Linked DNA regions of Lepisosteus oculatus. The protein of the gene in region 2 purifies or fractionates together with the protein of the main gene of each other region. This does not show direct contact. Links are inferred from orthologs where the notes say so. Each region holds a gene or a part of one and is shown on either strand. Other genes may lie near its edges.

What was found.
Region 1: the proteins of tfdp1b (region 2) and e2f2 purify together in Homo sapiens (affinity purification with mass spectrometry; 3 studies listed by BioGRID and IntAct, with this or other methods). This does not show direct contact. The link is inferred for Lepisosteus oculatus from reciprocal best matches to the Homo sapiens genes TFDP1 and E2F2.
Region 3: the proteins of tfdp1b (region 2) and e2f3 purify together in Homo sapiens (affinity purification with mass spectrometry; 3 studies listed by BioGRID and IntAct, with this or other methods). This does not show direct contact. The link is inferred for Lepisosteus oculatus from reciprocal best matches to the Homo sapiens genes TFDP1 and E2F3.

What each region holds. Positions count from the first base shown.
Region 1 is NC_090706.1:10,811,395-10,818,971, forward strand, and holds the start of e2f2 (transcription factor E2F2), read left to right. Parts: upstream 1-4,576; 5' UTR 4,577-5,160; coding exon 5,161-5,424; intron 5,425-7,577. UniProt on the Homo sapiens protein: Transcription activator that binds DNA cooperatively with DP proteins through the E2 recognition site, 5'-TTTC[CG]CGC-3' found in the promoter region of a number of genes whose products are involved in cell cycle regulation or in DNA replication.
Region 2 is NC_090710.1:28,862,691-28,870,159, reverse strand, and holds the start of tfdp1b (transcription factor Dp-1b), read right to left. Parts: upstream 3,019-7,469; 5' UTR 2,814-3,018; intron 2,768-2,813; exon of another isoform or gene 2,566-2,767; intron 2,560-2,565; exon of another isoform or gene 2,403-2,559; intron 1,984-2,402; exon of another isoform or gene 1,878-1,983; intron 715-1,877; exon of another isoform or gene 677-714; intron 566-676; 5' UTR 485-565; coding exon 473-484; intron 1-472. Other genes in the region: tmco3 (transmembrane and coiled-coil domain-containing protein 3), read right to left, coding at 6,316-6,429. UniProt on the Homo sapiens protein: Can stimulate E2F-dependent transcription.
Region 3 is NC_090705.1:12,634,510-12,641,621, reverse strand, and holds the start of e2f3 (transcription factor E2F3), read right to left. Parts: upstream 3,002-7,112; 5' UTR 2,716-3,001; coding exon 2,440-2,715; intron 1-2,439.

The DNA.
Region 1 (7,577 bases), on a different chromosome or scaffold from region 2:
TGTGTAACTCATCTTGGGGCTTGTAACTCGCTCGCAGGTGCGGACTGGCGCCGGGCAGTCTGCCTCAGATCGCTCCCGCCTTGCAGTTAAAAAAAAACCCAGAAACAAAAAAAAAATCTATTTTTTGGTCCCAGTGCTGTACGCACACTAACCTCTTTTCCCCACTGGTGAGCTAAAGACCCACGTGCATCGTTTCTGCCCTACATTAGAGGTCACAAGCGTCCTGGAAAGACAGGAGTGATGGCTCCTGCTATAAACCCCCGTTTATGTCCTTTGAACTCCGTCGCTTCAATTTCAGATTAAGATTACACGAGTAGTTTTAACTTGTTACTTTGATCGTACGGGTAGGCCTTTAGTGACATCACTGTCTTCTCTAATCCTCTTGAGTTTTTAAGTGCTCATTACAAATAATAATAATGTATTCATTTCTTTGATCGCGGCGATCCACTCTCAGTAATTCTCGAAACGAAACGCCTAATAGCTTGGTTAAATGATGTTTGATTGATCTAAATTTGCTAGTTCGTGTATTGTAAATACCCTCATACTGTCGAAGTACAGTGCGTTTTGTATTTTTTTTCCACGGGCCTAAGCGCCACCCAGTGAAAGAGACCCTGTGTCCTGTTATTAATCCCAATGCCCAGTCAGCCAGACTTCCTCATTGTGACAAGTTTTACTCTTCTTATTCTATACAAGTCTCCTTTGTAGTTTTGATTCATGTCTACTGTTGTTACCTTCAGCTTCGGTGGTCGTACTAAGTTGGGGTGTTTATATCTGAATCAATGTAAATATAACTCCTGCCAGGACGGTGGATTTGTCTTGCATGACTGGAGCGCCACCTAGCGGCCCAGGGCGGTAGCACAGATCGAATCTTGTGTCCCAGTTGTCCTGTAGGTGTAGCCTACGATAGGTATTGCATCTTTTTTATATATATTTTTACGGAGGTCATACACATATGAGTTAACTGATTGACATCTTCAGGGAGATGTTTAATTAACGGCACTATTTATGAAGGTCAGAAGACAAGTTTCTAAAGGTGTCCTCCTAATGGAGGAGAATTATACTGTATATGATCAAGTACAGGAGAGTCCGCAGCATGGTGCAGTGGTTGCTGCCTTTTAGTGCTGGGGCCCTGGGTTCGATTCCTGGGGTGCGATCTGCATAGGGTATGTATTTTCATCCTGTGTTTGCGTGGGATTCCACAGGGTGCTCCAGTTCCTTCCCAGAGAGCTAAATCATACTGGTACTGTAGATTAATTGGCCTTAGCGAAAATTGGCCCTGGTGTGAGTGTGTGTGTATCTGACCTGTGATGGACTGGTGTGTCCAGGGTTTCTCCTGCACCCATTGCTTGCTGGGATAGGCTCCGGCTCCCCCACCACCCTGTATTACATTAATCAGTTTGAAAATTGAAAGACAACCATTCTGAAGCTCAGCAGGTGTGAGCCTGCTCGGTACCTGGATGGGAGACCTTCTGGGAAAAGCTAAGGTTGCTGCTGGAAGATGTGTTAGTGGGACCAGCAGGGGGCGCTCCCCCTGCAGTCTGTGTGGGTCTTCATGCCCCAGTATAGTGACGGGGACACTATACTGTTAAAACCGAGGTCCCGACTCTCTGTGGTCACTAAAAATCCCAGAGCGATTCTCGAAAAGAGTAGATGTGTAACCCCGGCATCCTGGCCAAAGTTCCCATTGACCTTTACCAATCATGGCCTCCTAATAATTCACATCTATGAACTGGCTTCATCACTCTGTTCTCCTCCCCACTGAGAGCTGGTGTGTGGTGAGTGTACTGGTGCACTTTGGCTGCCGTCATATCATCCAGATTGGGCTGCACATGGTTGGTGGTGGAGGGGAGTCCTCATTACCTGTAAAGCGCTTTGAGTGGAGTGTCCAGAAAAGCGCTGTATAAGTGTAAGCAATTATTCTGTATTCATATATAGTACATGTATTAATGTATTCATTATAAGATCCACTCACACCACTCCACATCACTCCCCTGTGGAGGCAGCATCACTTTCTGCTTGACCGAGCAAGTTAGGAGCTTCCACTCAGAAACCCTGTCGCTGTGGTCTCCCCACTGATGTGCAGTTGTCTGGCCCCAAGCGTCTTCCAGGTACGCACAGTTTAGATGTGTGCATTTATATGTCGGAAAGAGCATAACTGACAGGAGGCCATATGACACACCATATTCACATTCATTCATTTCTGTTCAATTCGTCTCCATACTAACATGGAGAAAACCCCCCTCCATGAAGGAAATTGCCTTTAACCCTCCAAAAAAAAGGGACGATTTAGAGTGGCCAGCCATGCCTAAGACGTGAAAGAGTGACCAGAGAAACCCCACATGAACATGGGGATGAACTTGCAAAGTTAGCAAGTTCCAAGGCTGGAATCGAACCCAAGAGCCCAGGTCTGTGAGGCACAAAATCACAACATGGCCATGCACTGGGAGTGGGGATGGGGTCGTTTTCTGGGCCTTCCCTTTTGCTGTTACTACTGCACGAGGGACAAACACAGACCTGCTATAAGCACTTGAAGACTTCAGGCTGGAATTTGTTTAGTGCTTATTGTGTACAGAAGATGCCAGAGAGCAATGGGAGTAAAGAAGATCACCAAGGATCTGGGGACCCACATCGAAGTTAAGAAGGTGTGCTCATATGACCCATAGGAGAGTGAGAAGCTTTTCTTTACACAAAGAGTGGCTGGGGTCTGAAATAAGCAGCACCTCCATGCTATATAGCCCTATTATATTATATAGCCTCTTGGAGATCCTCTAAGAACTGACCAGAAACAATTCTCAGATCCAAGTTAACTGTCACAAAAAGAGCTGGATCTCTTTTATGTTTTTAATCCATTTGGTGAGTAAGTTGAGAGCTCCAGTCCTGCATGATTCTCGCGCAGCTTGGTACAGTCTGAAAGATGAAAAGATAAAGGCCAATAGGAAAGTCCTGTTTCAGGTAAGTATAAAGCATTAGATCTATATTATTTACTCAATGGGCTCCCTAACACTCTTCTCAGTGAGTTGCAATATGTTCAAAACTCTAGACAGCTAGACTACTAACTCACACCAGATGCTAGCATCTTATTACTCCTCCACAAGTCTCTACACTGGTTGCCTATAGAATCATGTATTCAAGATAAGATCTTATTACTGTTCAAGGCTCCAACATACTTCTCTGAGCTCCTGCATGTCTACACTCCCTCCTCTAGCCCCATTCAGCTGAGACTGGTCCTCCGCTCACAGTACCCAGGACTAGATCTCGGACTCTCGGGGACTGTGCTTTTTCTATCACTGCCATTATGTTTTGGAGAGCCCTTCCTCAAGACTCTCTTCAAATCCAAAATCAAAACTAACTTTTTTCACCACAGCCTTTATTTGATTGACCTTTATTAATTGCTTACACTTACACTTATATAGCACTTTTCTGGACACTCCACTCAAAGCACTTTACAGGTAATGGGGACTCCCCTCCACCACCACCAATGTGCAGCATCCACCATATTCTATCTATATGATACCATGTGTTCTTATTTTTTTAAAGTTTTTATTGTACTTTTTGGGTCTTTTTCTGTGTACGAACAACTTTGAAAGGTATTATTTATAAAATGCCTTCTAATGACGCTGTTCATCATTAATAAGAAGACGAAAAAGTACAATACAAAGTAAATCAAGAATAAAAATAATAATACAGGTGTTTACAAATGTAGGCAAGCAGACGCAGATCTTGGTAAAAAGGTCAGTTTTAAGTTGAGATTTGAAGAGAGTTAAAGAAGTTGTCTCATAGAGTCTGAGGAAGGTCATCCCACAACGCTGGAGTAGCGACAGAACCAACAGTCGCCAAAAGTCCGTGATTTAGTGGGCACAGTGAGGAGAGGACATTATTATTAATACTAATATTATTATTAAGACTTAAACGTTCAGTTGCTGCAAAATGTATACTCTACACACAGCAATATATAAGTAAATATATAAATAAATACGTGTACATCATGTATATAAAGAGCTGGTCACACTCAGTTGCTTGGCTAAGCGTTCAGAAAGCCAGGTAGCAGAAAAGGTTGGGGCGCAGGACAAGCGAGCTCAGCCTGAAATTCACTTTAAAGAAAAACAAATCCGAAGCGTTCAGTTTTTCGTGTCAACCCCCGGATGTACGATTCCCCTGAGGCTTGAAGAATATTTACATTACAGTCCTCCTGGTGGTATTCAGGCTGAACTACGTTGGTAAATAATCGGATTTTTTTTTTTATGGGAGGCAGCTCCCACAAGCTGCTTCTTAACAAAGTTCTACTGAATACGATGCAATCCTGCGCATTTCTTCAGGTCCCCAAATGTCTGATTCGAGTTGCTGCCTGTAAGCAATTTAAATGCAGCAGGTAAATAAAGAGTTCAAGCTTAGTCCAGAATATCGGCCTCTGTCTCTTTAAAGACAGGGACCCTCCCCTCGCGCTCCAACAGTTCTATGCAAATAACCAACAAACGGGCAGCATTGTGACCAATCAGAGCCGAGCTCCAGCCGCGGGAGATCCAAATTTCGCGGGACGCACTTTGGCGCTAAAACTGCAGGTCTGATCAGCTGGGGAGTTGAAGCTGTTGTAACTTTGAAATAGCAGGAATTCAGCAGGACTGTTCATGCACTCCGATGAAAATCCGAAGCATCCTGTACAAAATACACTTGTATTAGGGATTCTGATCCAGGATTGTGAATCTGCAGACTTTGCTGAATCTGGATATGCCTATATTGGAAGGGATAGGCGGTATTTTTTGGATTTTTGACACTATTAGAGTTGGAAGTCCACTTTCATTCTCTTGCTTTTCGATGCAGTAACCAGATCTAGGTCTACGAAGCAATTTTGTTTTAGATTAGTTTAAAAATACTGAAATCTTAAAAGAGGTGGCGTTTACTACAGATAGATTATTTAAGACTTTATTACTTGTGTGTATTCTGCGTATTTTTAGCATTTTAACCTATTGTTTATCGACAATCGGCAAGAGCAGCAGTCAGCTGCATTGTTTTTAATATTTAATCGTTTTTATGAATGCACATTTCTGCTAAAGCTTCTGGAAGCCGGTCGTTCACACAAAAAGGATATACCGCATTATTATTTTTTTCCCCCGATTGAGTGGCAGACTTGAGTGGGGAATTTTTAGCAGAGCAGAATAAAAGATGATGCGGTTACCCAGAGGGGTCTCTCCGGCTTCCGGTAAGGGAGCAGTTGGCTTTTCGGGGTCGACGAGGAAGGTGTTAGCCGGGGCAAGAACCGAATTATTCGGTACTGAACTGTCGAGTCCTCCGATCAACTCTTTATCGTCCGGCTACCTCAGCCAGATCTGCAACACCGCTTCTGGGGATCAGAGGGCGAGCTGTCTGTACTCGACCCCCCACGGGCCTGAAGCGAAGCCCATCAGAGCTACCTCCGGGAGGCTACCGGTAAGTCCGCAATGATTTAATGCGCTCCATCTTAACCTTTTATTTTGAATAAAGTGCCCTTTCTTACACCTTGCGGTCTAGGATGGTACCCCCGTAGCTGTAAGGCGTGTCGTTTTGTATGCAACTTTAATGTTGCGTCTCAATCGAAACGTCGAGTCAATATGAGAATTTCAGATTGACTTTACTGATCGCTTTAACTGGGCTGGATGCGTAAATTTTGCGAGCACAAGTTTAGAGCTCAATCCGTGTCGCGTTATTAAATGTGAGTGTATGTGCGGGGGGTGGGGGGGAGCGATGGTTTAATTTTTCGGCCCAAAAAATTGCGAGATTTGTTTAATTGTGCAGTGCTCGAGTCTGCGGCGCCCAGAAGTCGTTCAAGTGGCGAAGGGCTCTAAACGGTGACTCGCTTTGGAAGCGAACGCAAAGTCAGTGGGGCCGCCTTCTGAAGCGGCAGTAAAAAGATGGAAGAGGAGGTCTGGGCTTTTCCCGCGGGCGGCGTGGAAGGAGGCTGCGGCTCCCCTTTGATAGAGGCCGTGGTCTCGCATCCCAGCTGTTACAGCCTGAGAGAGGGGGTCAGTGGAGGACCAGAGACACGCCTGAAGAGGGGGGGGGGTACCATAAGAATAGCCCGAGACAGAGGCACAAGACCGGGAGATGTGCGTCATTAAAACGGAAATGAAACCTCTCCAATGGTTCCCAAATAATACAGCAGAGCGTGATGAAATATGAATAAAACGAGACAGTTGAATCGTGTGCGCTATCCGCTAATTTTGACCAACTTGCTCCATTCATTCTGCACAGCTGTTGGTGTCCTTTTCCGGTGGTTTGCCACTCTGTGTGACACCTGCTGTACTCCTAGTGCGTTCACATCCACACAACCTGCCGCTGTCACTTCAGGGTGGAGAGTGCAGAGGTCAGGGGTCAAGCCCTGTTTGCGGCTGCAGTGGGCAGGAGGGCTTCGGGGGTAGGTCTGCGCAGGTGTAGTTCGGATGAATTCAGCTGTTCGCAAGGAAAAGCCAGTTTAAGGCGGAGTTCGTGCGAAGGTGTTTCTACTCCAAACAAAAAAAAAAAACCAACAGTTTAAAAGCCTCTGGGGTAACTGGATCGAAGTGTGATGAGCAGTTTTTTTTGCTTCTCCTTTATGAATGAATTGCTTGAGTAGAAGTGCTGAGACTGTATATAGCCTCAGATGGACGTAGATGATGTTTAGAAAAAGCAATTGGAACTTGCGCAGTTCAGGGTGCCTCCCTGCCCCTTCACTTCAAATTTTCAAGAACTACAAAAATATGGTCTTCAGCTTTTTGTGGTGCACATCAGATTTCCTGGGTGCACCACGTCAGTTGAAGTGATGTTTGCAGCGTAACCTGGTGGTGCCACATTATGAAAATAGCACTTGATTTGACTTTCTTGGGTGCTCATGTCTGCCCTATCAACTAACAGTTGATTTGCATGAGAGAATGTAGGAGTGTGTCACTCAAACCTGCTCTGTATTTTTTCTGGTATAGGGTAAGCCTGAAGGGGAGAGGGCAATTATTTTTAACCTTTGATTGGATTGAAGCACAGGGAAGTAATTGCATCTGTCCCAGCCGGATTTACATTGAACTACACAGGTGTGCAGTATTCTGGTCCTCAATTGCTCAAACTCACAGCAATATGTGATGCTTTGTTCCTATTACAGGTCGTCTTTTTAAGTTGTTGTGTTGAGAGGAAAGCACTGCATCTTGACCTCTTCACAGACTATTCTGAAATTTCTGTGTTTTTTGTCAGCTGTGAGATGGTGCATTTGTTAGTACAGCTACTGCCAAAATTAGTAGTTTGCAGGAACATGGATTATTACTATTCTCAAACAGGAAAGTCACTGAAAAATAAAGGTCTGCGTTGTGCTACTAGAAAAATCGTGATGTAAAGGTATAAAAGTGTAAGTGCTTTGATTAGGATCTCAATACAGTGAACAACACAACTGCATAGTAATTAAGTTTCTTTAAGGGGCAGCAGTGGGCAGGGGTCTGGGCCAGTAACTGGAGGATTGGGAGTTCAGATCCCAGGTTTGTATGCAGAGTGGGGAACACTCCCTTATTATTCTGGGGCAGTGCAGAGTGGTGGCTAAAGCACTGTACTCCTAAAAGCTATTGATGTTTGGAGGTGGGCTACCC
Region 2 (7,469 bases):
CTGCACTGCAGCTCGAGCCTGCCATCACGAAACCCACAATCTTCGGCAGAGCCCAGGCGTGCGCTGGGGGTGCTACCCAGGCCACGAGCCTGCAAGAAGAGACTGCCAAACGCGGCCTGGCGTGTGGAGGGTTTAACGGCCGGCCGGTGCTCCACGCGACCGAAATCCTGGAGGGAAGTAATCGGGATTGGAAAAAAAAATGGCGAGGTCGTGTCAACGACTAGTAAGCCCTACCGAGAACGCACGCATGCGGGCCGGCTCTGTACAGACCCAGGACGCTCTGCTTCGACGTTTCAGGGTACAGAGAACCTCCAGAGAGTGAGGATGAGGAATGAGCTCTCTCTCTCTCCCACCCCACCCGATGGCAGAAGGTCCTGCCGTCTCAACAGCAGAGCACAGAGCCCAGGCCTCTTGGCCACAGAGCCGAGGCGCAGCCCGCCCCTGCCAGTGTCCTCCCCACCCCCTCACTCACATCCTTCGCCATGATACCGAGTCCTGGGAGAAGGGATGCGCTGGCGTCTCGGGAGGGAGAGAAAACGGCTCAGGGTGTTCTGCGAAGGCCTGCCTGCAAGAGAGAGAAGTCAGCCCGGTTTTAACCCGCCTGCGTGGGGGGTTGGGGGTGGGTGGGGCGCCGTTTCGGACTCGGACCGGGCTCCGGCCCTCCTGCAGGCTTTACCTTTCGAGCTCCCCGCGAGAGGTGTTCATTTAGTTCAGCTGGAAAAGGAAGGGAAAAAAAAAAAACATCAAAGCTCAGGGTGTCTCTTGGCCTTGTCAGGACCCCCTCCAGAAAGGTACTGGGCGCCTAATAAAAACACCAGACACTGAGAGCCCCCCCCACCACCCCTGAGCTCAACAGCTGGGCCCCGAGAGACCCCCCTCTAGGCCAGACTGAACACCGTCAACACCACCCAACAGACACACTCTCTCCTTAACGACGACGAGGAGGAGGAGGAGGAGGCGGCTACAAAGCTGCCACCAAAGCGCCGGTGGTGCTCGCCGGGTGAAAGTGGTGTCCATTTTAACGCACAAGGGACACGAGTCCCCTGTCATTGACATGCAAGCCGTGTCCGGGTGTCAGCCTGACCGTTTGAATAACATTAGCGGCCCCCCCAACAAGCGCTAGGCCTCCGGTTGGTCTGTCCTAGCTGAGAGAGTATCGTTTTAAACGCGTGGGCACAGCACCCGAGAGCCTGCACCGTGCAGAAAAACGCGAACCCTTTCAGGAAGCACGATGTTCATTTTGTTTTGCCCTTTTTTTTTTTGCAAAGATACCCCCCCACCTCCGTCCCCAAAGAAGTTGAATCCCTTTCACCGAGCAGGCCGGCACTCCAGCATCTCCATTCCTTCGGGCACGGGCGTTGTGAACACAAAAAGGTGCACCGTCGGAAATAAACAAAACCCGTTTCTGGGCGAAATGGGAGCCCGCTTCCAGGCCGTGAACACACTGGGCTGGATCGTGCCGGCTTGTCCCAACTTCAGAAAAACAGGCGACGTGAGGCCTACGCGTTTCTGGAAACTGGAGAGTCCGGACTAATCCGGCCACTGTTGCAACCTGCTTCGGCGATACAGTACGTGTCCCCTTGATGGGGGGGGGGGGGTGAGGACTTAAAACCTGCCCGAAAATCCTCCTATTGCACCTTCGGTAAAAAAAAAAGTATTTACGCGGAAACGCACGTCCTCTTTAAAAACCAAAAGGTGGTTACAGCAAAAATCTAAGACATCTGAACTTGCACGCCCCGATTGCTACAATGTGCCACCACACGCGAATTCATTTCGCCAGCTCATCGGAAAATAAAACGACCCCCCCCCCCCCCCCCCCCAAACCCACCAAAAACAAAAAGGCACCGACCACCTCCGATCAACTGCAACAAACTTACAACTGCCCCGGCGTCATTCAGCTGCACTCCGGCTCCTGCGCTGGCTGGCTGGCAGTGGGAGAGGAAGAGGTGGTCTGAACCCGTACACCCAACAGGAAACCCCAAACTGAAAAGAAAACACACACAAAAAAGGGCCAAGTCTGCCATTCTGTCAGAATTAACGCCACCCCGAGCTACACCGCCGACACGCAGGACTCAAAACGCAGCCCCTTGCGTGCTCTCGGAAAGCCCGTCCTCGACAAAATGGTCGCTTTGCCATCTTGGCCTCTCACGGCCGCCGCCGCCGCACGCTGCTCCGAGCCCCCGTCCCGGCTCCGGCATGTCACCCGGCAGCACAGCCGTGGGGGTCCCGGCGCCTGTCCTGGGGGCCGTCTCCCCCGGGTTCAAGCGTGCAGGGCAGGCACGGCGGCTAGTTCATCTCTGTCCCGATCGCCCGTCTCATCTCAGACCACGGCTATAACTCGTGCTTGGGGAGGCAGAGAGCCGGGGTCGCCGCCGCAAAGGAAGCTAGAGGTTTGTGTTTACCTTGGAACGGGACGTCAAACCCAAAGCTACAACAACAACAACAACAAAAAAGCCCAGGTCGTTTCGCCCCTTCAGTAACCCAGCTGGGACCTGGATCACACCGACTTTCACTGCCGTTAGAACCAAGAGGATTGAGGGGAGGTGGTGGTGGGGAATAAAAGACCTTTGGCTACACCAAGCCGGGACTGCAGCCCTCGTCACGCAGGGGGCCACGGCGAAGCCAGCATCGCCCACGTCCCCGCTCGCATGCGTGCAATCCTGGCGTAAGGATTCAACTTTCGCGGACCCCTCCGGCGCTCGCCTGCAATGTCGCCTCAGCCATCTGTGTCAAAACTACTCCCTCGCGTAAAACGAAACGCTCTGCTCTGCGCTGGATGGGGGGGGGTGGTTACTGGTCCGTCCGCCACTTACTTGCTCAAAACCCGAGGCTCATAACCCTGCCCCGGCGTGGCGTGGCGCGGCGCGGGAGATTCCACCCACGGAATGTTTTTTTTTTTTTTTTTATCCCGTGCGCTCCGGTGTTTTCTTAGAACCTGTCAGCGCCAGGTTCCCAACTCGAGCCTGCCTCTTCCAGCGCGCTGTGCTCCTTGCTCTCCGGCCGACAAAACTGATCTTGGCGGTGTCCACAAAACGAGCGCGCCCATTGGGCACGCACGGGGCGACGTCATCGCGCCGGCGGGAGGAGGCGGGGGGGGGGCGGGTGGGGAGGCCACGCCTCCCCCTCTCGCAATGGCTGGCGGTAAAGCCGTCGCTCTGGTGGAGGCACCTGGCGCGGGGGGTTATGGGATAGAGGGGGAGCTGGGAGTGGAGAGGTGGCTGGTGGGATCGGATTGGCTTTTGTTTTTTTGGGTTTCGATGTGTAAAAAAAATGTATCCGATTTCCATAGTAAATGTTACAGTAGCCCGAGGTGTCCAAGGATAACATACCCGTTCAAAACACTAGGAATGTTTGTAAATTACATCTGAGAGTTAAATTAAATAACCTAAACAGAGCTGGATAGTCCGGAAATAATATGATAGGAAATTATTCAACAATGAGAAGTGGTGTAATTAAGTTCTCTATAAGATGGCATAATACTGTAACTATTGTTATTTATTAAAATGAAGCCTTGAGCTAAAGCAACCGGGCAGTTTTTCCTAAAGTAATCCCAGTGATTAACTGGAATATTAACAAGGAATGCTGGCAGGGAAACAGCATTCTCTGTCGGTCATTAATAAAGTAATCTACATCATGGAATAAAATAAGATACATTCCACTTTGTACTTTCACAGCTTTGTGGTTTAGCACTTTAACAAATCACAATGATACTTCACATTTATTCCAATGTTATGTTATTTTATTATTATTTTTATTTATCCACTAATCCTTCCCAGCACTTTACACATTGATATGCGTGGAATGAAAAAAGTCACATTACATTAGATGGACAACAAAATAAATTCACATAGTCTGGATCGTTGAACACCATTTTCTAAACCAATAAAAAATAAAGATTCCTAAAACGCTTGTGCTTGAAATCTGATTCATCCGAATAAAATAATCACTGCTACCACTTTGTTTTTAAAAAAAGTTATATTTCATTTCTGAATAAAGTTATTTAAACATTCCCCTTACAAAAATATTAGTGTTATGGTCACAGGATGTGATGCACTATATAGACTGGAACAACACCTGACACCTTAATTTAACTTCATAAAACTTTTGTACCTTCTTTAAACTCACAAGTGCAATCTATTGAGGAGCATGAACGCTCTAGGTCCCGAATGGGTCCCTTTATTGTAATCACACAATTCTTCCCAAGCTGACTGCCAAAGCACTGCAAAGCAAAGCATCATCAGTGCCTCCGGTATGCATTCAAAGCAAGAGCAGCCATGCTCATCTGCATCCCAGCAGAAAGCCATGTAAACACTTAGCAGCAAAGCGCTTTACATTTACAGGACGTAAAAGAGAATTGGCAAAAAGGCAACCGTTGGTAACAAAACCCATTTCAAATTTACTGTTACACATTTCTGTGTTTTAGAAAAACAAAAGCCACAGTAAGTGTTTAAAAGGGTTTCTTTGGTTGTGCTTAGAATGAGAAGGATGACTATCATGGATGCCTTATTACCTGCGCCGCACTGGACTAACGCAGAAAGTCCAGATTTTGTAACGGATACTTAAAGCATCTGGAAAACACACACAAACCTTTTAGACATAAGCAAGCGGAAAACTGGTCAATTGGCCAGTTTTACTTCATACTGAGCACAGGCCAGAAAACCCATGTCAAAGAATTAAGAACCCCCTTACAGTATGCTGATGAAGTTTAAGGACTAAGAAGTACGTAGGTGCAAGCATATTAAAGGTACCGTGACATCCATGCAGTGTATGGCGAGGTAACACAAGGGAGATGTGGAATGTATTGTAAGGCACTTATTTTACATTTTTTCTGAAACTGAAGGATTCAGACCGTAAGGGCTCAGACAACACAAAAAGGTTTAGACAGATAACTTCAATCAAAGACAGCCTTGGAACAGCGCAGACCATGTCTTTAATCCAATAATTTATGCCATTCATAATTTGGAAAGGGTCCACTCTTTTGAAAATAGAATAAAATAAATATTACTCTAAAACAAGCATTCGGTAAAAGAAGCGTGCAATTTTGATCGAAGATCTATTGTTTTTCTTCCTAATTTAGCTGTTGTCTTTTGATCTAATGGAAGATAGAGGACATCAAACCAATTAACGGTTTAAACCTAAATTAAACTGCCTGATTTGCAGCCTGAATTAAGGAATTCTGACAGTATTAAAAAAAATAAAGTTTAATGTGAAATTGCTGCTACGATGCTTTTTAAAAAGAGTAGGTCTTGAACCTGAGCAATCTTTCAAGACAAATTATTTCAAAACAGTGTCATCAGCAGGATTGGAATGTCAGTAATGTAACCAACATTAGCAACTGATTTGGCCTGCATGCTCTGTGGCTACGATTAGGAATTTCAAGAACTATTTTTCATGCCAGCAGGTATAAGGCATGACATACAAAAATATAGACCTTTGCACTGACACAACCCTACAAATCACAAACATTGTAAGCCCCAAATTAGCTCTCCTATACTGGTTCAAATAATGTTTCACATTAAAAACATCCTACAGGAAGCACCTGCTCAGACAAGTTAGGTCAAACATAATAAGCAAGCTATATCAGAGCTCTAAAAGTGCCAATATTTACATACAAGCTGGTGCATCCTGCCTTCTGCTTTTGTTCAACCAGCTGAAGGCCCTCCATGTGTGAACATGGACATATCATGCATGACAGACAACAATGGATCTTCAGTCCACGTTGTGACAGATGTTTCTTCTTTAGCAAGTGGCCCCTCTTCATTGCTCCCGAGTTCCTTTACAGCCTTATTATATTTCTCTACAGTTTTCTTTTCTTTTCAAAATTACAGACTTTTCTAGGTGAAGCAGGGAACGTCAAACACTTGTAGGTCAAAATAATTTAAAGACAGACCAAATAAGAGCAAATTATATGTACACATATTCCCGACTGTTCAGGACACAGTGTTTATATTAAATCAGTTTTGAACTGACAAGACTTTTTGTTAAAAAGTCATGCTTTACCCAGGATGATCACTCCCAGAAACCACAAATGTTTCGCCTTGGACATTGTACAAAAATACTAAATCGAAATTACTGATCCAAACTCTCTCATCACGCTGTTTTTCACACTCAAGTGACCGCTCCTTTGGCCAAGGCAGTCAAAACTGCAGGGTCTCCCGCTTATACATTCAGGACGTTAAGTGTCTGATGAAATACAGCGTCGTGTTGTCACGGCGACCGGCCCAACCCAATGAAAACGATGATTGGGAAACGGAATTCTAGCCGGACCCGGCACCGGCCCCAGATCCGAAGCGGCGGGGAGGAGAGGCGCCACAGTCAGGTGCTCGTCCAGCGCTCCGCTCTGGGGACACACTTCAGCGTAGCGGCTTTCCACAGCACGGGCGCCAGCAGCAGGCTCAGGGTGGTCACGCTCAGAATGAGGAGGTACACCTGCAGCACGCAAGAGCGCCGTCACAGAACGCAAGGAAGGCAAAAACAAAGCACCACCTTCCCGCCTCTTTCAAGCTCTCCTCCCTCTCCGTGCGTCAGCCACCAGAGTACCTTCTACAGTGGGCTTAGCCATTACCTGGAACTCCAGGGTTTTCTGAAAAGAATGCAAACCAACACTGCTGGCAGGGCCTGCCCGGTTTCTGTAAAATATCCTTTAGGCAGGGCTGATACGGGCGACAGACCTATTTGCATAAGACAATAAATGTGTATGCAGTGTATGTTGCAGTATACCGTCCCCCTTTTCAGAATTAGTCAAATCAGTTTGCCTGATCGGCGCCCTGTGTTTTGTTTGCATTCCCTTTTCTGTTTTGTGCAGTTATCGGTGCTTCTGTTGTTGGTCACGCCCTGGTGAGCAAAATATTAAAAACAGGACTTGGGCACATAAAGAGGTTAATTTTGTAATGCTCCGACACGGAACATTTTTTTAAAAAATATGCAACCCATTGATACTGGCAAAGAGCACTCCCTTACATCACAATTAGAAAAACAAATAATAAAGATGCATGAATAAAAAGAATCACTTAAGTGCTTTTATCTCCTTTAATCACTATTGCAGTACCCAGTGCCGTTCATTTCGAATAAAGGCTTCTATCTCCACTTGTCTAGATACCAGGACCAGCAATGTAACACAAAGGAAGGAAGTTGCAAGAGGCATAGCACATTATGCAACATCATAGGATGCCTTTTCGAATGTTGATCATTTTTTTGTTGTAAATATCTGCACTTCTAAAATAGCCCTTATTGCACGGGCTTCCTCTCTCCGTCAGCTGCAGGCTTTCTAGCTACATGATAACATGTCATGGCCGATAAAAGCAAAGCACATGACAGGAAAAAGAATCCCTTCTGCTCCAAAGCTCAAAACACACATTTTTGATGAAAATTGTGCATCATAAATTCATATGGTTAAATATGTCAATTACAAATCACAAATACATAAAGTGCTGTTACACTGAGCATTAGGATGACTGGCCTTTGGAGTG
Region 3 (7,112 bases), on a different chromosome or scaffold from region 2:
ATTTACCTAAATCTTTTTTTTAATCAACCAAACACCAAGATGCATGTTACATATTACATATTAATGAGACAGGAAATGTAAATCAGTTTCAATCACTTAAAAATAAAAAACAGAATTTCCTAACCCCTTTTCACATCCCTCCCAAATCTTCCCTCACAAAATGGAGTAGACAGAAAATTCAAAATGGCAAAATACTAATTGCACTAGTCTCCAGGAAGCAAAAAAAAAGAGCCAGTCTCATCAGGTATCACCTGCACAGCCAATTAGCGACAGAAACATTAGGGTGTAGAAGTGAGGCTCAAAGTTTTTAAATTGTTCAGAAATGTTTGACAATATTTAAAAAAAATGAATAGTGGACTAAGTATGTATCTAATTTTCATCAAATTAAACAGCATCATCTTTGAGGCAGCTTGCTACCAATTAAAGAGGAAAAGGTGCCCGACAAGAAAAGCTAGAAAGACAGGCTTGCTTTTTAAAAATGTTTGATAGGAGGAAGCTATCGGTTTGCACGATAAAAATGCCAGTAAGGAGCAGTCTCAATTTCAAGATGAGCAATATGAGAGAAAGTGTCAAAAATGGAGGACCAAAAATTAACCAGCCCAGGACAAGATCAAACATGTATATGAGAGTGGCAGGAGTCTGCCCACATCTGTTATATATTGGGTCCAAATTAGGAAAAATGTTAGAAGGGCAAGGTCTAAACATATGTATGCAGTGTATTTTACCTGTATGAGAAGGTGCCTGTCACACATAGGGGAAGTGAACCCAGGCTAAAATGAGTTCCACTGGCCCTTTTGAATAACTGTCTCCATGTCTTGTCTCCATTTACCTGAATTTTTAAAATCTTTCTTTTGTACATACCAGGCTACATTATGTTCGAATAATTCTTTGTCCCTTTCAATTCACCTTTAACACAGAACCATTTACCAAAAATGTTCCATATCTTACTGAATGTCTACATCCACAGCAGATTTTGCTGCCCAGCCAGTGTCAGCTTGCCTTATACAGAACACCATGAACAAGGTTCAGGCAGCTACAAATTGCACTGCCCATAAAATACAATTAGCTTAAGACAGAAAGGGCCTGAAACAAACCCATAACGTGTCACAAAACATGCCGTTAAGAGTTAAAGCTTGCTTTCTTGTATTTGGCAAATGTTGCAGCACAATGTGAAGTTAAACTGGCAAATTTGTATCGGGGTACAGAATTATACCCATATTAACTCATTATCCAGGCCTTTGTGTCTGTCATCATATTAAAAAGTTTGATTTTGGCCTAAAATTATTCTTCCAGAGAATCAAGGAAGTGCTGTGGGGAAGCAAATCAGGGTTGCACATCAGAAGAGTGCCTTCTTTAAGCTCCATTCAGAGCACTGTCTCCCTAATTTTAATATTGCTTCATCATCATTGGAAAGTCTTTCTAGAGCTAGAACGCTATACAGGCCATAGCTATGTGCAGCAATTGAAATAAAGTAAAACATTTACCTCTATGTGGCTAATATATTTGAAAATAACGTTCCATTTAAAGTACTGACATCTCTCCTTTATGTCATTTTGCTTTTAAATGTATCCTACAGGGTGTTGCAGAACACTGTAGTTTTCCAAACTCTTCAAAATTGAAGAAAGATATGCACACGTTCCTGGTGACAAACGAAAATGGGCCAAAGTGATTAGGAAACAGCTACGACTTCGCTTATCACAAACATCACCTGCTCCGAGCATGTTTTAGTTTTCGAAAAACTCCTGTGTGCTTTATATGTCAAAGGTAATATTCGATTTGCACGTACAGTCATCTCTGCCATATAAACCATACTCCTCGCTTAAACAAGACGTGCTCCGGGTTTTTAGTCCCAGAAGTCAAAACACTGCTAAAACGATTACACTGCCCAAGAATGGAGAGATGTGTGTGGATATCTCGAAGGTGGCGAGAGACAGATCCCTTCCCCCCTTTCCAAAAAAACACGAAAACAGGGCCTAGCGTTTTGGTTTTTCCCCACAAGACAGCGCCACGACAATCCTATACACTGATCCCATATAAAATAACACCGATTATTGCTTAGATTTGTCCTCCGTATTTTTCTTAAAGCAGCACCACGAATGTCATTTTTGTCACAGGAGCAGTTTATTAATACGTCTTGTAAATAGAGCGGAAGAGTTTCAGCAATTGACCTTTTACATTCGGGTGTGACCCCTTTTAGGCCAGTACAGGAAGGAAAAGTTTCGGTTTAAAACGAAAAGGCTATATTGCTATCGCGGCCGTGTTATAAATCTAAAAGATGAGTTCTAACAGTAAGATCGCTGCAGCAAATTTGTAGATAAGCAACCATTCCCCGAATTTGTGATCCCTCGACCGCGAGTATGCATATTATAAACAGACGCAGAAACATTTGAGTTTTGCAATTATTTACTTTCTTTTAAGCTACATGAGCAGTTTAGTTACCGGTGGACGTCCGAATGCAGGTCGTTGTCCCGTTCCGTTTGTTGGTCCGTGAGGAGTGGAGTAAATCAAACTGCCAGCTGGCGACTCGGACACACAGACATTCGTAGTCTGTGGAATACAGGACGGCGGGGTGATAATCTGGATATATGTAGCGTTGGGAAAACTAGAAGTAAAACTTTCTGACAGTCCAGTTAAAACAGTACTTTTTTCAACGGCTGGGACTCCAACCCCTGCTACTATTACTTTCTCTGGAGCTGGGGAGATCCCTTTTCTCATCTTTATTTGCTCCGGCTGCCCTTTGTCCCTCCTCTGGTTTGGAGCCGATTTTCTCGAAATCCAAATCAACAACGTTTGAAATACTAACAGTATAACTTAGAAGAGAGTCTAATGTACCGATATTACTAATTTTAAGTTAATATTAAGAACACAGACAGCCAGATGCAATGGATTTAAAACTGACAAGAGCCTCCGTCTTTGCAGCTGAAAAATGGCTCCAGGAAGCTGACAATGAATGAAGGGATACAGTTTACGCGCGAAAGACCCTCCCGCGAAACTCAGATTTCCCGGGAACTTTTCAAACGAGATTTGCATATTCAAAGCTATTGGTCATCTTGGAACCAGTCTCCGCCTCCATTTTCTGACGTAACAACAATTGTACTCGAATCAGAATGCGAGTACGTCTGCTTTGGCACGCCATTGGATGCTTAAAAAAACCGTTGCCAAGGTACCAAAGAAAACTATTTACATAGGAAAAAGGTGATTGGACGAAACAGAAGGGGATTCCCTTCTTCTCGGTGTTTGATGGTGGTTATTCCTTCTTATATTTTAGTGCTTGTTCACCAAGGTGTGAACTTAATAGTTGTGATATTAATTATATGTTACGATGGTTTACTGATTTAAAACTTTAACGTGCACTGGTGTCTATATAAACATGATATAAGACAGGTAAACGTATCCAGTTTATGGTAAGATTTGAGACAGGGCGACCGTTTAGTAACGAAAGTATGTATTTAAACACTAGCTTATACTGCAGTTTGTCATGCGAGTCAGCGAACACCGTAAACATTAACGACCTTTTGGCTAAGATAAGGTTCGTGTGGCTTGACCGCAGTTCTTGTCTTTCCTGAGGTGTGGAAGGCGACCAAAGACCCTAGGATTAGAAGTGGATGTCCTCACTGACTTGTACTGAGTTGGAACAGAGGGTGTACATAAATGTAGGACCAGTGTTCAAGGTGTATACCACGAAGTGGTGGAGATCAAGGTGAATGGTCGAGAAAGGGAGTGTCAGAAAGGGTACCAGAGCTCTTAGTCGTGACATGCTGTAATCACTGTAACTGAACTTTAAATATACCATTTTTGATAACGTGGTAACAAGGCAACTTAAAATATTTTAATCAGTTATTCTATACCACAATCATATCCTACTAACCATACTCTTTTTTTTTTTACATTTACACTCTGGATGTATTGTCAGTAGGGTTTCAGAATCTGCCTGTAAGATCTCCCACTATCCTATAATGTCTGTGTGACAGGACTCAGTTCACTGAACATGCTACAGAAGTGACATCAACCCTCTGAAATCTGGTAAGATAAAGAGCACAGTCTTCTGACGTTATGGAGTTTGCTGCAGTTTAGGAAGTATTGCTGTGTGGTTCTCACCCCAACACTGACTATGATAAATCCTAGCAGGTACAATTTTGCTGCTAACTCATTATGCAAACTACCAGTGTACTAACACTACAAACAGTTGAAAGGTTCACTGGTAAAGGCTGTGAAACATGTTAAAACCTACAGTAGGATATATATGTGTAAATGGAGTTAGGGTAAGAATTTGTTTTAATCAGGTCATTTCAAGCACAGTGATGGCTGTTAGTTTTCTAACTTTAACTTTAAGTAATACATACAGTATTACTAACGCTAGATGTACAGTATTACTCATTGAACACAATCTTAAGACCCAATCAAAGATTTCATCAAAGGTCAATAGAAATTCTTCCAAAACTCAACAAATCGTAACTTTGCTCATTTTCCTACTTGTATCTCCATCCTCGAGTCAACCTGTGTATAAAATAATGGCTGCTGTAAATTGTCAGATTTAAGCAACCACAATCTTATTTGGTGGGTATGCGTGCAGTATAATTTAAGATTATATTTCCCCTTAAACAAAGGCTTTATTTAATGTCATAACTCTCTTTCTGTCACGATTAAAAACGGAGGATGAGTGGTGTTTTGGATGTAATTTCCATTTTTGTACTCTCAATGATGTTGGAGACTTTGCATTAGGATGAACCAATTTGGCACAAGCCGAGATTCACATCACACAAAACGTTCATGCCAAGTCTCAATTTTGCCCTTTCCCTTTCTGAATTGGGACTATTCAAAAGCGATGACCTGGCTGCAGTTAAACTGTTGATTTTTTTTTTTAACCCTAATCCAAGTCCCGGGAAAATTCCCAACCCTTGATTTAGTGCTCAGTTATCACTCACTTAACCCTCACTTTTGAAACAATCCCAGTTTTCTGAGTTTTTTTTTTCAAAAGATTTCTAACACCTATATTACACCTAAATGTACCCTGAGATTGTTGAAAACTACTTTGAATTAATGAGAGTTCCTAGTGGGTAAGTAAAGGAGTGATGAGCAGAAAGGTTCCACAGCCAAAGCATGCTCTAGAAACCCGACTAGAGGACTTTGCCCAGTTTAGGGTTTAAATCCAGCAAAAGTAGATGTTCTGGTTCTAAGCAGGATATTTGTCACTGATCATTTTTGAGGTGTTACAAGATTCAGTGTTCATGTCTTCTTACTCAAGAAGAGGAAGAGGTCTTCAGATTATTTTAAGTTGATGAAGGTGAAAATCTTAAGAATAGAAGATGAAGATTAATATTTAGCTTTGATTACTTTTTTTAATGAATTCAGGTTAAAGTAAGGGCTTGGTCAGAGTCAGATTACATGTTAGGCACATACTTACACTTACATTCCTGATCCATTTACTCATGTATATTAATATAGGTTTAGTGTTATTTTGGTCATATATTTTGGAGCTGGATTTGGGCGTGGAATAAGGATTAGATCTAAGCAAAGCTAAAATTCCACAGACAAGCACTTTTGCACTTCTCTACCCAGACCATGTTTATAGAACAAGCACCAAGCAACTAAAAAAACAGCTTTAAATTAATTTAAAATTCAGGGGTAATTATATATCTTACCCTAGTCCCAGATTAATATTGACCATATTATGTGTGATTGAATTATACATTTAATTTGAGTCAGAAAATCTTTATATATGCTGACATTTATGTAAGCAGTAATGCACTCTTATATCTTATACCTTCACACTGACAACTGTTATTATCCTATGCACTACATTATTTTAATAATAAAACATTACATTTCTGTAATTAATTACAGTATACTATTCACTTTCCCCATGATGGAGTGCTGGGATTGTTCTCTAACCTTCCTCTTCTCCCTGATAGAAAAGGTGGAATTCTTCCTGTCTTTTACCACATGAGATGTTACTGTAGCTAATGCTGTGCTCTTTCTCTCTCTCAACAACTCTGAATGACTAGCAGGCGCCTGTTAATTATTAAGGACAATAAAAACCTGTGAGCTTCTGTTTCAACTTCTCCCTTCCACAACACACAAAGGAAAAAAAAAAATTAGGAGTGCTAATGTACGTTAACAGTAAAGCTGTAATTCAAGCATTCAATTCAAACTCTGAACATCAAATTCCTTAATCCTTCATGTTAGCATGTTTTTCTGTCATGACTAAAAGGAAAATGTTAGAAACGCAGTGGGAATTACTCCAAACAATTAACATGTAACAGAAAATAGGAGGCAAAGTGGAACAAGACTGAGGCCACATGCAAGTATTTAGATGAAGGTACATTTGACGTATTTTGGGGAGTTCCTGTCTTCCAATTCAGGAAGCTTATTTATTTACTTATTTTTCTCATTTCCAATGAGAATCTGCATGTGTAAAGGAATATATACCATACACCCCTCTATAAAGTGCTGCATTTGCTGATGCAAATATATTTGCAAATCCATTCATCCATTTCCTAAGTGCTTCTTCCAGTTTGGGGTCGCATGGGAGCTGGAGCCTGTTCTAGCAGGAGAAGAGCGTAAGGCAGGGTACAGCCTGGAAGGGACAATAATAATAATAATAATAACCCACCTGAATGATGTGACTGCAGCCATAGTGCACCAGAACACTCACCACACATCAGCTATCAGTGGGGAGGAGAGCAGAGTAATGTAGCCAATTCATAGAGGGGGGATTATTAGGAGGCCATGATTGGTAAAGGCCAATGGGAAATTTGGCCAGGAAGCCAGGTTACACCCTACTCTTTTCGAGAAACGCCCTGGGATTTTTAATGACCAAAGAGAGTCAGGACCTCGGTTTTACGTCTTATCCGAAGGACGGCACCTGTTTACGTCACTATACTGGGACATTAGGACCCACATGGACCGCAGGGTGAGCGCCCCCTGCTGGCCCCACTAACACCTCTTCCAGCAGCAACCTTAGTTTTTCCCAGGAGGTCTCCCATCTAGGTACTGACCAGGCTCACACCTGCTTAGCTTCAGTGGGTTGCTAGTTGTGAGTTGCAGGGTGATATGGCTGCTGGCCTACATTACATTACCACAGTAGTTTCAATTTTATAAAATATATTTCA